Linked DNA regions of Coturnix japonica. The protein of the gene in region 2 binds, or shares a complex with, the protein of the main gene of each other region. Links are inferred from orthologs where the notes say so. Each region holds a gene or a part of one and is shown on either strand. Other genes may lie near its edges.

Region 1 (4,290 bases), on a different chromosome or scaffold from region 2:
TATAAAGGCAAATATTTTGGAAATAGGAAGAACTCCCTACGTGAGTTATATGTATATGTATATGTATATTGTATGTATATAGTTCAAAATCATGGGACAATATCGGACTGTAAGATGTAAAAGCAACATAGAGAAGTCAGTCACCTTTGCCAAAAGTACTGCAGTTATGTGATCATGTGAGTAAGGACAAGGCCACGGTGACTCTTTAGAAGTTGCACAGACATAGCTGATTAGTTTGGAATATTTGATACTGTAAGCATTTCTCCTGAATGTTGTTCAGTTTGAGTGCTTGGCTTTAACTGCCTTTACAAGCTGAATTTGTTCTTATAAAAATAAAGAATGTAAATCTGAGAGATGAATAGACCTGCCAATTTTTTTGCCAGAACCTGCTGCAGTTTATATTGATGGGTGTCAGTGAGTTAAAAACTCAGATAAAATATTACATTATGCTACTTTTATCACATAATGTATTAGTATTCTTCTCAGCAAACCTATTTTTACTGAATGGTTGATAAAGAGGAATCAAAGGAAAATAGTGTCACAGGTATTTTAACCCTCACACAACATTTTCCTGGGCAACAGGCCCAAAGATTTTGTCCACAGTACCTGGCACTGTGCACTTCTGCTCTGGCCCTTCATTTTTAAGTAGCAATACTGTACCTTATATATCCTAGTTACAGCTGGTCTCCTCCCTCCCCAAACACCTTCTACTAAAGGCAGTGTCCCTCATATATTTAAACCTATACATGCGAGTCATTTTACGTCAATAATTTAGAACCGAATCCTGAAACACGCAAAATAAGTTTGCTGTGGACAGTACTAATTACGGCACTGCGGTTTATATTTGCAAAGATGTACACACTCTGAGCAACTGTAACACAGGGGCAAAGGTGCTGGTCAGCAGCGATTCAAGACAGCAGGAAACGGGATTCGCCGGAGCGTGTAGCTGTGAAGAAGGCATTGCTAGAGAAGACGTGGCTTCGGAAGCAGAACGCTTCCATCAGTCCCTCAGCTTGCGTTACTCGGCCATCGCAAACGCCTCGCCTTCACTCCTGTCCGCTTCCCCACCGGCTCTGACCAATCGATTTATTTCTGCCTCGCTCCGCACACCGCAGCCGCACGCCCCCGGGAGCAGAGCGGGGCCCGGAGCATCCTCAGCGCGGCCGCCGCGCTCCTGTACCGCGGCTCCCCGTCCGCACGCTCGTACCTACAGACGCCGCGCTCGCAAGCCCCGCACCCTCGCTCTACCTGAGCGCACCCGCACCGCGCGTGATGGGGCGGCCCCGTCTCCACCCGAGTGAGGCCGCCGGGCCTCCAGGCCCTTCCCGGCCGTCTCTCCGGCGGCGGCTCCCGGCCCGGCCGCTGGCGGCAGCACCACCGGGCGGCGGCGGCGGCCCCTCCGCAGCGCCGCCTCCTCGCGTCCCGCGGGGAAGGTCAGGGCGGCGGTAGCGGAAGCGTCTCCCTCCCGGCTCCGCGTCCCGGAACCAGCCCCGCCGCCCCCGGCGCCGCCACCTGCCGCCCCCGCCGGCAGCATGACAGCGGCCGCCGCCCGCAGGTGACGCCCCGCGGGCCCTTTCGCCGCCGCCTCCTATATGGGCCACCTGCTCTCCAAGGAGGCCAGCAGCCTGAGCCGGGACAGCGGCGGCCGCCGTCGCCGCCGCGGGAGGAAGGTGCCGCCGCGCAGCCGGAGCTGCTTCCTGCGCGGGCCCTGCATGCTCTGCTTCATCGTGCACGGCGCCAGCTCGTCCGCCCCGGAACCGCCCCTGCCCGCCGGGGACCCGCTGCTGCCGCCGCCCTACGCGTCCCACGCCGCCGCCGAGCAGCGCGCCGCGCGCCGCCTCCTCCGCCTGCCGCCCGCCGCCTGGGAGCCGCGCGGCCGCTGCCGGCGCCTCCTCCTCTCGGGCCTGCTGCCCTCGCCGGTGCGAGGCCTCCTGGGGCCGGCCGGGCCGCCTGGCGAGGCCGTCTCCGAGATGGTGTGCAAGCGCAAGGGGGCCGGCCTGCCCGCCTGCACCCCCTGCAAGCAGCCGCGCTGCGCCGCCGGCGCGGCGGACCCCGAAGCTGCTGCCTGCCAGTGCCCCGCGGAGCCGCAGCCCTGCGCCTTGCCCTCGGCCGCCGACGGGGCGGGGAGCGGCGGGACCGCGCCGCCGAGGTGCCCCGCCGGGAGCGGAGACGGAGGGGACCGGTCGGTATCGCCGCCGCCCCCTCCCTCCGGAGACGAGAAGGAGGGAGTGAAGGAGCGGAGCGGCGAGGAGCCTTTGGAGCACCCCGGGGACGGCTGCCGGGAACCGTCGTCGCCGCCCGACATCAACCAGCTGCCGCCCTCCATCCTGCTCAAGGTGGGTCGCCGGGCCGGGGCTGCCTTCAGGGCCGCGGGGCCGGTAGGCCCGGGTGGGGCTGCAGCCGCCCGCCTTGCCCCGGGGGTCGCGGCTCAGCCCCCTCACCTGCGGCCGCTCCTCGGACACGCGCGGTCGTGCTCCTGCCCGAACTGCTGGCCCGGCCCGGCTGAGGTACGGGAGGAGCGGCCTTGGTCCCTTACCCTGTGCGGCGTGAGCTCTGAAGTTGAAGCGGAGGCAGTCGCGGTGCGCTGCCTCGGAAGCACTTCGACTTCAGCCTGTTGCATGACTTTGTAGCGCACCTCGCACGCGTGGTGCTCTCCGGGTCGGCTGTTCGGGAGCAGGCGGGCAGCCGGTGAGCTCCGCTCGTTCTGTGCGAGTCAGAGCGGTACGAGCAGGCTGTGCTGAGGGGCATACAGCTTCTTCCAGGCTGTGTTCTGAGTTCGTCTTGGTTTTACTGTGCTTCCAGTCATAATGAATTCTTGTAGCACTTCTGAGCTCTGTTCTTTAACAGCCCATTGCTTTGTATATGCCGGGTCTTGCTTTGCTTCCTCTCCCTTCTGCTGTGCTTTGGTTCCTTGATTACTGTTTGCTTTCTAGAGTAACTTATAGTTCAGGCTGCTCGGTCTATCATTCTACACACTGTTCTTCAGCTGAGCCTTAGACCAGGTGAGAACCATTGCTGGAGCTGGAGTCTGCAGTGTTTTCCAAAGTTTGTTGTCAGGGTTCCTTCAGACTGGAACCAGTTGGACTTGGAGTACTACAGAAGTTTTCTTTGGGGTTAGATGGCTGAACTTGAAGCAGTGTGTTAACAGAGCAGTGTGACAGATGGCTCTTCCTGTCTGTGACCAGATCCGTTCTCTCTGTAAACTCTGGTTGTGCAACCCCAGCACTGAAAGTGATTTCTGATCTCTTGTCCACAAACACTGACATTCTGCTATTGGTCTTCCACATAAAATTAAGTCTGTGCTTGTTTTTTGTTGTTGGCAGTGGTTTGTTTTGTTTTGGAAATATGCATTCCTGTCTTAGTTATGTTGTAATGGCATGCAACATTTTTTTTTATTTTTTCAGTAGATTCACTGCCCAAATTCCCCCGTGGCAGATATTTAAGAAATCACAAACTGCCATATCTGTCTTAATCTCTTCTGTGATCAAAACTCTGCCTCACAGTTTTACTAAAATAAAGGATCCATTTCTTTGTCACTGTTAATTTAAGATCATAGAATCATTAGGGTTGGAAGGGACCTTTAAGATCATCTAGTCTAACCACAAACCCATCACCACCATGCCTGCTAAACCACGTCTCTCAGTGCCGCAGGTGACTCCTCGTGTTATCCTTGGTATTGGGCTGTTACAACTTGAGATCAGACTGGCATAAGTACACCTTAATGACTTCTTCTCATCAGTTGTATGGCTTCTGTAGTCTCTTCAGCACGTGTCCAGTTTCACATTATCAAAAATGGCAGTCTAGCATGATCATAAACTTGTTCTTTTAATAGTGTGACTTTGTCATGCCGCTCTCATGCCTCTCTGGAAGCAGCCCCCCATTACAGCTTGCAGTGGTTTACATATACTTTGCAGGCAAGTACTGTGCAAGCACATCTGGTTGTGCTGTTTCACTACTCCTGACTGTGCAGATCATTTCCCCTCATTCCCATGCAAAGCCAAGCTCCTGGGGCAGGACAGATGGAGCCTTAGGCTCAGGGTTAGATCTCCCTGAATCCTTGTTCTGCTCTAGGACTGAAGTTTTCTCAAAGCAGTGCTGCTGGTGTTTTTGTCACATGCTTGTTTGTTGCTCCTGGTGCTGGGATGTTTGCAGCTCTGGACAGAGACCAGTGCCTGGCTTCTAGCAGAGCTGTTGAGCTCCTTCCTGCTGGCTGGTAAGGCAGAGCAGCCAGCCCTTCCTTCCCAGTGTTTGTAAGCATGAAATGGAGATGCTTGGAAAACTTTGTGCTAC
Region 2 (3,511 bases):
TTGGGAAGGGAGTTAAAAATAACATGAAAATTGTTGGCAAGTCATCTAGAATCATTAAAGCCAGGAGGAAATGTGCGTGACAATGAATATCTGTAGTGACGTCACTTCAGCAACTTGTTTGTGTACAAGAGCAAGTTGAACACTACCTTAACATAATTATGTATTCAGAAAGCCTGTATCTTCCTAAAATAGCTCATTCACTAGCTCTATAATATATAAACACAAGGATTCTCTGTAACTGTAATATCTGATTACTGAAAACCAAAAATGATCACATCATCTCTTTTGATGTGTTTTGATGAATTTGCTACAAACTGATGTTACGCCATGATAACACTGTCAGCTTTATTCATTCTTCCTGTTGCCTCTGTATGTTCGTTTCTTCTTCCCTCTCTTCTCTATAGTGGCTTAGCATGTTAATAATGCAAATAGTATGAGTGAGATAAATCCTTTTAAGCCTGCAACTTCACAACATTGTCTAGTACTACTGATGTAAAAGCTGAATGTGCTGCAATAACAAGCAAAAATACCAGCAGAGCATCTTATCTTCTGATAATTTGATCTCATCACTTGGTAAAAAACACTTTGTGAAATTGGAGCTTGTCTTTTGGAAACTGCTAAATGTTTTGAAATGAGTCAGTTTATGAAACTGAGTACTTGAGAGGGACAAATAAATAAATACTAATTGGCTTGGCAATTTCTTAACCCTTTTGATCATCCAAAGTTTTTGAAGTTCAAAATAAAATATGCCGGTCCAAAACGTGAAATACTTGAATATTGACATTAACTTGTTTCATATAGATCATCAAAGCTAACCGGTGACACCTTGCTGTCAGTCGCTTCTATTGTCTTCCTACAGAAGTTACACTCTGAAATTAGACTGCCGTCAGCAATACAGATGAAACAAATAGCTTCTGCCAGACTTCTCTTCATTCAGACCAACAGTCTTTCCAGTGATAGATCATGTTTGAGGAAAGCTAGCTAGAAAATATGGGAGAAAATATGAGGAGCAAAGTGTTTTTTGTTCTGTAAATCTTTCAATTTATTTATTCTTTTTTAGCAAGGAGTGGTAAATGAAGTATGTACAATTTTGAAACATATTCGTTTGGTTTGGTTTCATGTATGAATGTAGTCTGTTTACAACCAATAAATCTTATTTATTTATAGTAGGTATAAATATACCTTGCAAGCACATAGATAAACTCTTTTCCTTTTCACTTTTTTTTTTTTTTTTTTTTTGAGGATGAATTAAGAATACTGACCAGATCACCATGTTGTCTTTAGGGTATATTTGAAACATTTTTAGAATTCTTTAGGTTTAAGAGTTTTCAGAATATTTTGCTAAGCTGTCTGCATAGATCACTTCAACTGCCTTTTATTTGGTATTTCCATGTTCTTTAGAAATAAAAAGCCCAGTGTGTGGGCTTGGGCTATAGTAGTAATAATAATGGACATACTCCATTTTATTTTTACTTGCTAAAGGAAGTAGCATGTAACTTTTAATATGACTGTGTTGCAGAAAGGAACCAGGTCGAGACTCGAACTCGTGGGTACTCCAGGGTTGATTTTATTAACAAGCTCAGTGCTCAGGTGAAACATGCATACAGAGCTTGGGTCACTCCTAGTGAATGACCCTTAAGCTTTACAAACGTCCTATATTTATATGATTAGGTAAACATTACATCATTTATGTTATTCATTTCTCGTGATTAATCAATACATCTTCAGTCCTTCTTTCTCGTGTTTCATCCTAGGCCCAGGCTTCATGCTTCACGTGTTACTCTTCTTTTGAACTTGTCCAAAAACTCATTATCTTCTTTCATCCGAGCCATCCGGGCTAGACCAGTCCATTCCATCTGTCTTATGGTTAAACTATACATTTTAACTGTTTAACTACTAAATAGCAATGTCAGCACTATTATTGTCTACCTCTGCTGTTTCATAACTTCACAATACTCTAACACCCCTACATGGGTCATGGTTCAGGGCTATACAGGGGATACATGAGTAGCATATTGGTTGAGAAATTTACCATTTTCCCTAACAACTGTCTGTTTACACCTTTCTACCTGCTTTCTTAGTAATTTTTTCAATGATAAGCAGGATTGTTTATCTTTGAATTCCCTTTTAGGTAACTGCTCTGTAGTAGAAGCTGAGTTGATAATGATGGAACTGTTCCAAAAGGCTTACCTTCTCCAAAGAGACTGTAACTGCTGTTGGCTTAGGGTTTTGGTTACTATTCTTTTTGTCCATGAGAGGAAGAAAGGCATAGATGGCTACAGTAGTAAATAATTGTGTGCGGTCAAACTCAATTACTTCAAAGTTCTTTATATCAGTGATGCATGAAACTGAGCAAATAGCAGTAATTGCTCTTTAAAGGAATGATTCATGCCAGCAGCGTTTTGATCTTTCTCAGGAATAACTCACGTGTAATTTTACTATGGAAATTATCTTTATAAAATTTGAGTCCCTCTCCTGGTTTTCAGATTACAGCAATAAATTTCACTTTTTAGTACTGTATTATGAGAGTTGTTTAAGAGGTTGATCACAGTGAAGAAAATAACTGCCATATAAAATATACAGGATATAATTATTTCTTATTTGCTTCACAATGTGTGTGGCCAGATTTCCTTTCTGAAGCAAAACTGCTGCTTGTCTCTCGTTCTTTGTCCTGATGGCATGACTTTCTGAATACAGGATGTGAGTTCTGGGTGTTTAAGCCCATGTACATGTTGGGACTGTAACTAGAAACTTGGCAACCTAACTACTACCCAGTGAAACAGAAGTGGATAAGTGGGGCCTTGTTCTTTTTTATGTGGTTTGCACTGGTAAATGGGAAGCAAGAGAGTTTCACCAAGCAGGAAGTTGGCCGTGCTAATTTTTTTCTTGTTTTTCTTCCATAGGTAACGCTTAAGGGATTTAGCCCCTTGCTTCAGTTTGCATACACAGCTAAACTTATTTTGAATAAAGACAACGTGTCTGAAGTTTGCAAGTGTGCTGAATTCTTGGGCGTACGGAACATTGAAGAGTCTTGCTTTCAATTTCTCAAATTCAAGTTTTTGGACTGTAAATCAGATCAAGAGTGGCCTAGGAAGAAATGCTGCACACAGCATTGTAGGAAAGTAAATCCTAAAATTAGCAACGTGGATGATGGAGACCTAGAAATAGACGATGAAGCGGAAGAACTTCTAGAAAAAGAATATATTCAAGCCTCTCATGCAAAGCTCTGTAAAGATGATGACAGTGCTAAAGCATCACCTGCCCTTCAAGATAATGCCAACCCAACCTCAGATCCTATGCATTTAGAAAAAGGTAATGTTTCCAGCTCATCTTCCCAGTGCCCCAAGTATAGGAAATTCCAGAAAGCTTTTGGAAATGACAAAGTTCATACTTCAGATTCCAGTTCCAGTACTAAAGATGTTCAGGTGCCACCAATTGTAACCTTTATCGAGAAGGAAATACCTGATAATGACAGCCCAACAAAAGCTCAGGAGTGCGTACCTATGCAGCT
Region 3 (4,054 bases), on a different chromosome or scaffold from region 2:
AATATACCTACTTCTCAGAGATGAGCGATGTAAAGCTCTCCACTTGTCCCCCAGCTAAGATGATACTTTTTTCATTCAAAGGATTGACTATTTGATGAAGAAAACGAGTAGCTCCAGACTTCCAGGAGTTGTATCCGAACAGAAGAACCACACGAAGATCTGGATTATTCTTCAGGCCTACAAAAACGAGAACTTCAGTCCCCTTATTCTGACTTCCCCAATGTCTAAGAGTTCTGCATACACTCTTTACTCCCTCCTTAAATAACACCTAATGCCTCCAGCAACGGCTTCCTGTTGTTGCAAGTGAAAAACTAGACACAGGGCAGCCATGTATTCATGAGCTGGGCTGCATTCCCTACACACATGAGAATTTCATTAAAGAACAGAGATGAAAAGTAGATGTAGCTGCTTCCTCTTGCTTTCAGCTTCTTTCCCAGAGCATTTGCGTTTTATCATGGCACACTTCTTGGGTTTTACTTCACTGTCCTAATTATCCTTTTACAGATTCAAACTGAGCACACACGTTGTTCAATGAGAACCACAGTGGAGTAAACAGCTTTACTTAGAAAATTAAAAACCATTAAGATGTGTGCATCAGCCTGTTCCCATCCCAAGAAAGAAACTTCCAGGTTCCAGGAAGACTCTCAGAGCTCTCAGATCACTCTTCATAAACACAACATGAAGAACGTAAACTGTTATTATTAAGACAGATAATTTTTCTTTATACCTTTCCTTGCTACAACACCCAACTTCATATCTAAAAACAAAAATACTTTGTTAAGGAAAAGCAGCAACTCCTTCCCACTCCCTTCTAAACAGTGATGGCCAAAATAATTCCCTGTGGCACAAAACTCATTTTAATCAATTACTGGGTTGCTTCAAACCCACTAGCTCCCCTTTAGCAGCTCTGCTTGCAGCATGAATGAAGAAGTTTGAGACAAACTCAGGATAATAACCTCAGTGCTCCCAAGAATGGGTGGAACAGAGATGGGTGGTTACCAGAGCAGCCCTGCAGAGCCTCAGTGCTCTGTGAACACAGCACAGGAGCTGCTGGTCCCACATGCAGTTTCACGCTGGATCCTCAAAGAGCAGCCAAACACTCGACAAAAGCCCAGATTGAAGGCAGAACAAGGACATACCTGCTTCAGCAAATTTGTTTTCATCAATGACCCTATTCTTTACTTCTTTAGGAAAATGGAAGGTTTGGATTTTAACCCCATCAATTTTGGGAAACAAAAGAGCAAACCCAGCTTCACCATCTTCAATTTCTTGAGGCTGATTGCTGCTTGAACCCATAGGGGTAACTACAAAGACACAAACAAAGAAAGATTAGTGATTGACACTTGTGTCTGGCTAAAAGAGGTAGAACAGCATGTGCAATTTACAATGTGACAGCTCATTCCCATCACAACACATCTAACTGATAACTGGTGTGAATGTTTTTTTGCTGTTGTTGTGAAAGATGAAAGGTGTAACAGCTCCATTGTCCACAAACGATGCTAAAGTCACTTTGCATGAGAAGACAGACATATACACTAATTTTCCTTACTCTAAGTACTCAAACAGCCATAGGCACAGAATCAAATGTTCACGGCTATTAACTTCACACAGGTGTTTATGCAGCCCTGTACTCCTTCATGCTATAGGCCTGTTCTTATTAGTCACGGCTGCAGTGACAGAGACTGGAAGCAAACACCAAGCAAACACCTAGAAAATGTTTTAACACATAAACGCTTTTGCTGCCGAGAAGCACGGCACGAGCTATGCCTTGAAAACACAGAAACAAGGAAGAAGGTTTCCTCTTAGTATACTGCAGGATGAGAACGGAAGGTGAGAAGACAGGCACGAACACGCTACTAAGGAGCGCAGCACTGCAAGGAGGCTCCTACCTACGATCCCCGGGGTGAGCAGTCCAAGGACCTGACATCGCTTTGGCAACAGTTTCTCGATCGCAAGGGCTGTTTCTTTGCTGTTTCTTTTCCTGGCTATTGAAAAGGAAACAAAAACGGCGCGGAGGAGCTGAAGCGATCATTGCAAAGCTGACAGGAACACGAAGCCCCGGCCGGTCCCTTCTGGCGCCACGGCCGCTACCGACGCCATTGCCCCGTTTAGTGCCGCGAGCCGTGGCCGCGCTTCGTTCCCCGCTGGCCTCATCTCGCTCCTCCCGCCGGTCCCCGCCCGTCCCGCGGTACCTTTCTTGTGCTCGTGACACTCCTCGTGCCCGCTGAACGTCTCGGCGTCGGCGATGTACAGCACGGTGTGCGGCAGGACGTGCACCCTCTGCAAGGACACGCGCGGCGCGGGCTCGTCACGCCGCCCCGGTACCGGCCCCGCCCGGCAGGAACGAACCGGGCCCCGCCCCCCGACGCACCTGGAGCTCCGTGTGCAGGGCGCGGAGCAGCGCGTGTCCGCCGGGCGGGCCGGGCTCCAGCGCCGACACCCAACTGAGCCGCTGCCGCGTGCGCAGGATCCGCCGCGCGCACTCCCTCCACAGGCGGCACACGCTGCAACACAGCGCCCGGCCCGTCACCTCAACAACGGCGCACACACCTCCGCCCGACCCCCCCCTTACCCCGTCTCTTACCAGGCGGCCCGGAGCAGCGCTTTGGTGGGCAGGAAGCCGAGCACGCGCTCCACCACCTCGGCCAGGTTCCCGAGCACGAGGCCGCCCTTCCCCGGCCCGTCCATGTCCGTGTCCATGGCCACACGCTGCTCAGCGCCACACCCGACACCCACCGAGCACGGCGGGACGCGCTTCCGCTTCCGGCGACGGCACTTCCGCCCGCATCCCTTCCGGCCCCGCCCCGGAAGCGGCTCGTACAGCGGGTGTCAAACGGCTTTATTGGCACCTCGGTGCAGGTTCACACACACACACACACAGCACGGCACGGGGCGGCTCGGACGGGCGGGACGGGCCGGGCCGGGCCCACCAAGGGATGGGGGCAGCGCTGGGCCCGGCCCCGTCCGACGCTGCGGCTCGTCCCGTCGCACGTCCACGCTCGCTGTCGCCCCGTCGTGCCGCACTCGCTTTATCAGTTCGTTAGTTGACAAATGATTGCAACAACCCGTCAATTAATGGATCGCCTACAGACGTGGGCTTTTGTTGGTTATTGTAGGGATTGCAATGACTCGGAGCCTCGGCCGTGCAGCTGCAGCCCATGGGCTGTGCTGTGCTGCAGGCACAACGCCTGCACTGCTGGAGGGGAAGCAGAGCAAAAGCATCGGGCCGTGAGCATCTCTCCCAAGAAATAGTTCGTATTCTCATACAGCCATGAAAATGTTTAATGACGTAACGTACATGTGCTTGTCCTATATCAGTAATTTGGAAGTACTACAAACGCTGCCATTTTAGACCGGAGGGAAAAAAAACAAACAAAACTACTGTGATTCGCAAGGTCTGACATTTCCTATAACAGTATTAAACAACATAGTCAACCTCCTGGCTTTAAATGAAACAACACAACTCAAGTCTCGGCGCTCTGCATCCTGCGAAAGGTAAGAAATGCACTGAAGTGTGTGACCGAGCCCTGCTGAATGCTCCAGTGCAGCATTACACCTCCAGAGTAAAAAAGGGGAGAAGGGAGGGAGTGGCCCAAATACGCTTCATCCATGAAGAACAAATACAGCAAAGGCCCAGACTGCTCAGTCCAAGATGCCTAAGATGAGCGGAATGGTAAGGCTGCAACTTATACTTGACGTGTCAGTTGACAGATTATCCACTAACTTATCTAATAGCTAAAGTCTTCAGTACGGCTGTTATAGGGGCACTCATAGCTCGAGTCTCTGTGTTGGAAAACATTAAAAAGAGCTCTTTTTGTTGGCATTGGTCCAGGTATACAACAGTCCTCGGTATTAACCGTCTTCTTTTGGAGGAGTGTACCAGCCTATGGAGAACAGAGAAATGCATTAGGCGCTGCCCTGGCTCCGCTCAAAGGAGCTTACCAGCTGCCTTCTGAATGGGTGGCAGAAATGTCAGCTGAGTAACTCTGGCTCCTGACAGCATTTGGTATGTTGAATTCTATCGGATCAAGTGTACGTGGCCTTTACTGACCAC

What was found. The genes of interacting proteins can lie anywhere in the genome.
Region 1: the proteins of BACH1 (region 2) and FBXL17 are in contact, whole or in part, in a cryo-EM structure (PDB 8UAH), measured with the Homo sapiens proteins. The link is inferred for Coturnix japonica from reciprocal best matches to the Homo sapiens genes BACH1 and FBXL17. Residues at the interface, in NP_001177.1 of Homo sapiens: Val20, Leu21, Ser23, Leu24, Gln27, Val32, Leu33, Asp35, Phe39, His48, Arg49, Ser50, Val51, Ala53, Ala54, Cys55, Ser56, Ser57, His60, Ser61, Arg62, Val64, Asn72, Thr74, Pro76, His116, Asn117; in NP_001156787.2 of Homo sapiens: Asp395, Arg421, Asn447, Gln473, Gln498, Glu499, Met524, Arg548, Cys574, Leu575, Tyr598, Val600, Ser601, Asp623, Trp626, Met651, Arg652, Val676, Gln678, Asp679, Cys680, Arg682, Thr683, Glu685, Gln689, Trp692.
Region 3: the proteins of BACH1 (region 2) and FBXO22 are in contact, whole or in part, in a cryo-EM structure (PDB 8S7D), measured with the Homo sapiens proteins. The link is inferred for Coturnix japonica from reciprocal best matches to the Homo sapiens genes BACH1 and FBXO22. Residues at the interface, in NP_001177.1 of Homo sapiens: Ser7, Val8, Phe9, Ala10, Tyr11, Glu12, Ser13, Ser14, Val15; in NP_671717.1 of Homo sapiens: Asp366, Gly371, Asn372, Phe373, Ile374, Leu375, Arg376, Lys377, Cys378.

The regions. Positions count from the first base shown.
Region 1 is NC_029547.1:42,393,955-42,398,244, forward strand, and holds the start of FBXL17 (F-box/LRR-repeat protein 17), read left to right. Parts: upstream 1-1,490; 5' UTR 1,491-1,592; coding exon 1,593-2,336; intron 2,337-4,290. UniProt on the Homo sapiens protein: Substrate-recognition component of the SCF(FBXL17) E3 ubiquitin ligase complex, a key component of a quality control pathway required to ensure functional dimerization of BTB domain-containing proteins (dimerization quality control, DQC).
Region 2 is NC_029516.1:93,631,224-93,634,734, forward strand, and holds part of BACH1 (transcription regulator protein BACH1), read left to right. Parts: intron 1-2,903; coding exon 2,904-3,511. UniProt on the Homo sapiens protein: Transcriptional regulator that acts as a repressor or activator, depending on the context. Binds to NF-E2 DNA binding sites. Plays important roles in coordinating transcription activation and repression by MAFK.
Region 3 is NC_029525.1:2,728,558-2,732,611, forward strand, and holds the start of FBXO22 (F-box only protein 22), read right to left. Parts: upstream 2,801-4,054; 5' UTR 2,701-2,800; coding exon 2,585-2,700; intron 2,505-2,584; coding exon 2,372-2,504; intron 2,281-2,371; coding exon 2,193-2,280; intron 1,986-2,192; coding exon 1,890-1,985; intron 1,305-1,889; coding exon 1,140-1,304; intron 178-1,139; coding exon 12-177; intron 1-11. Other genes in the region: UBE2Q2 (ubiquitin-conjugating enzyme E2 Q2), read right to left, coding at 3,853-3,884. UniProt on the Homo sapiens protein: Substrate-recognition component of the SCF (SKP1-CUL1-F-box protein)-type E3 ubiquitin ligase complex that is implicated in the control of various cellular processes such as cell cycle control, transcriptional regulation, DNA damage repair, and apoptosis.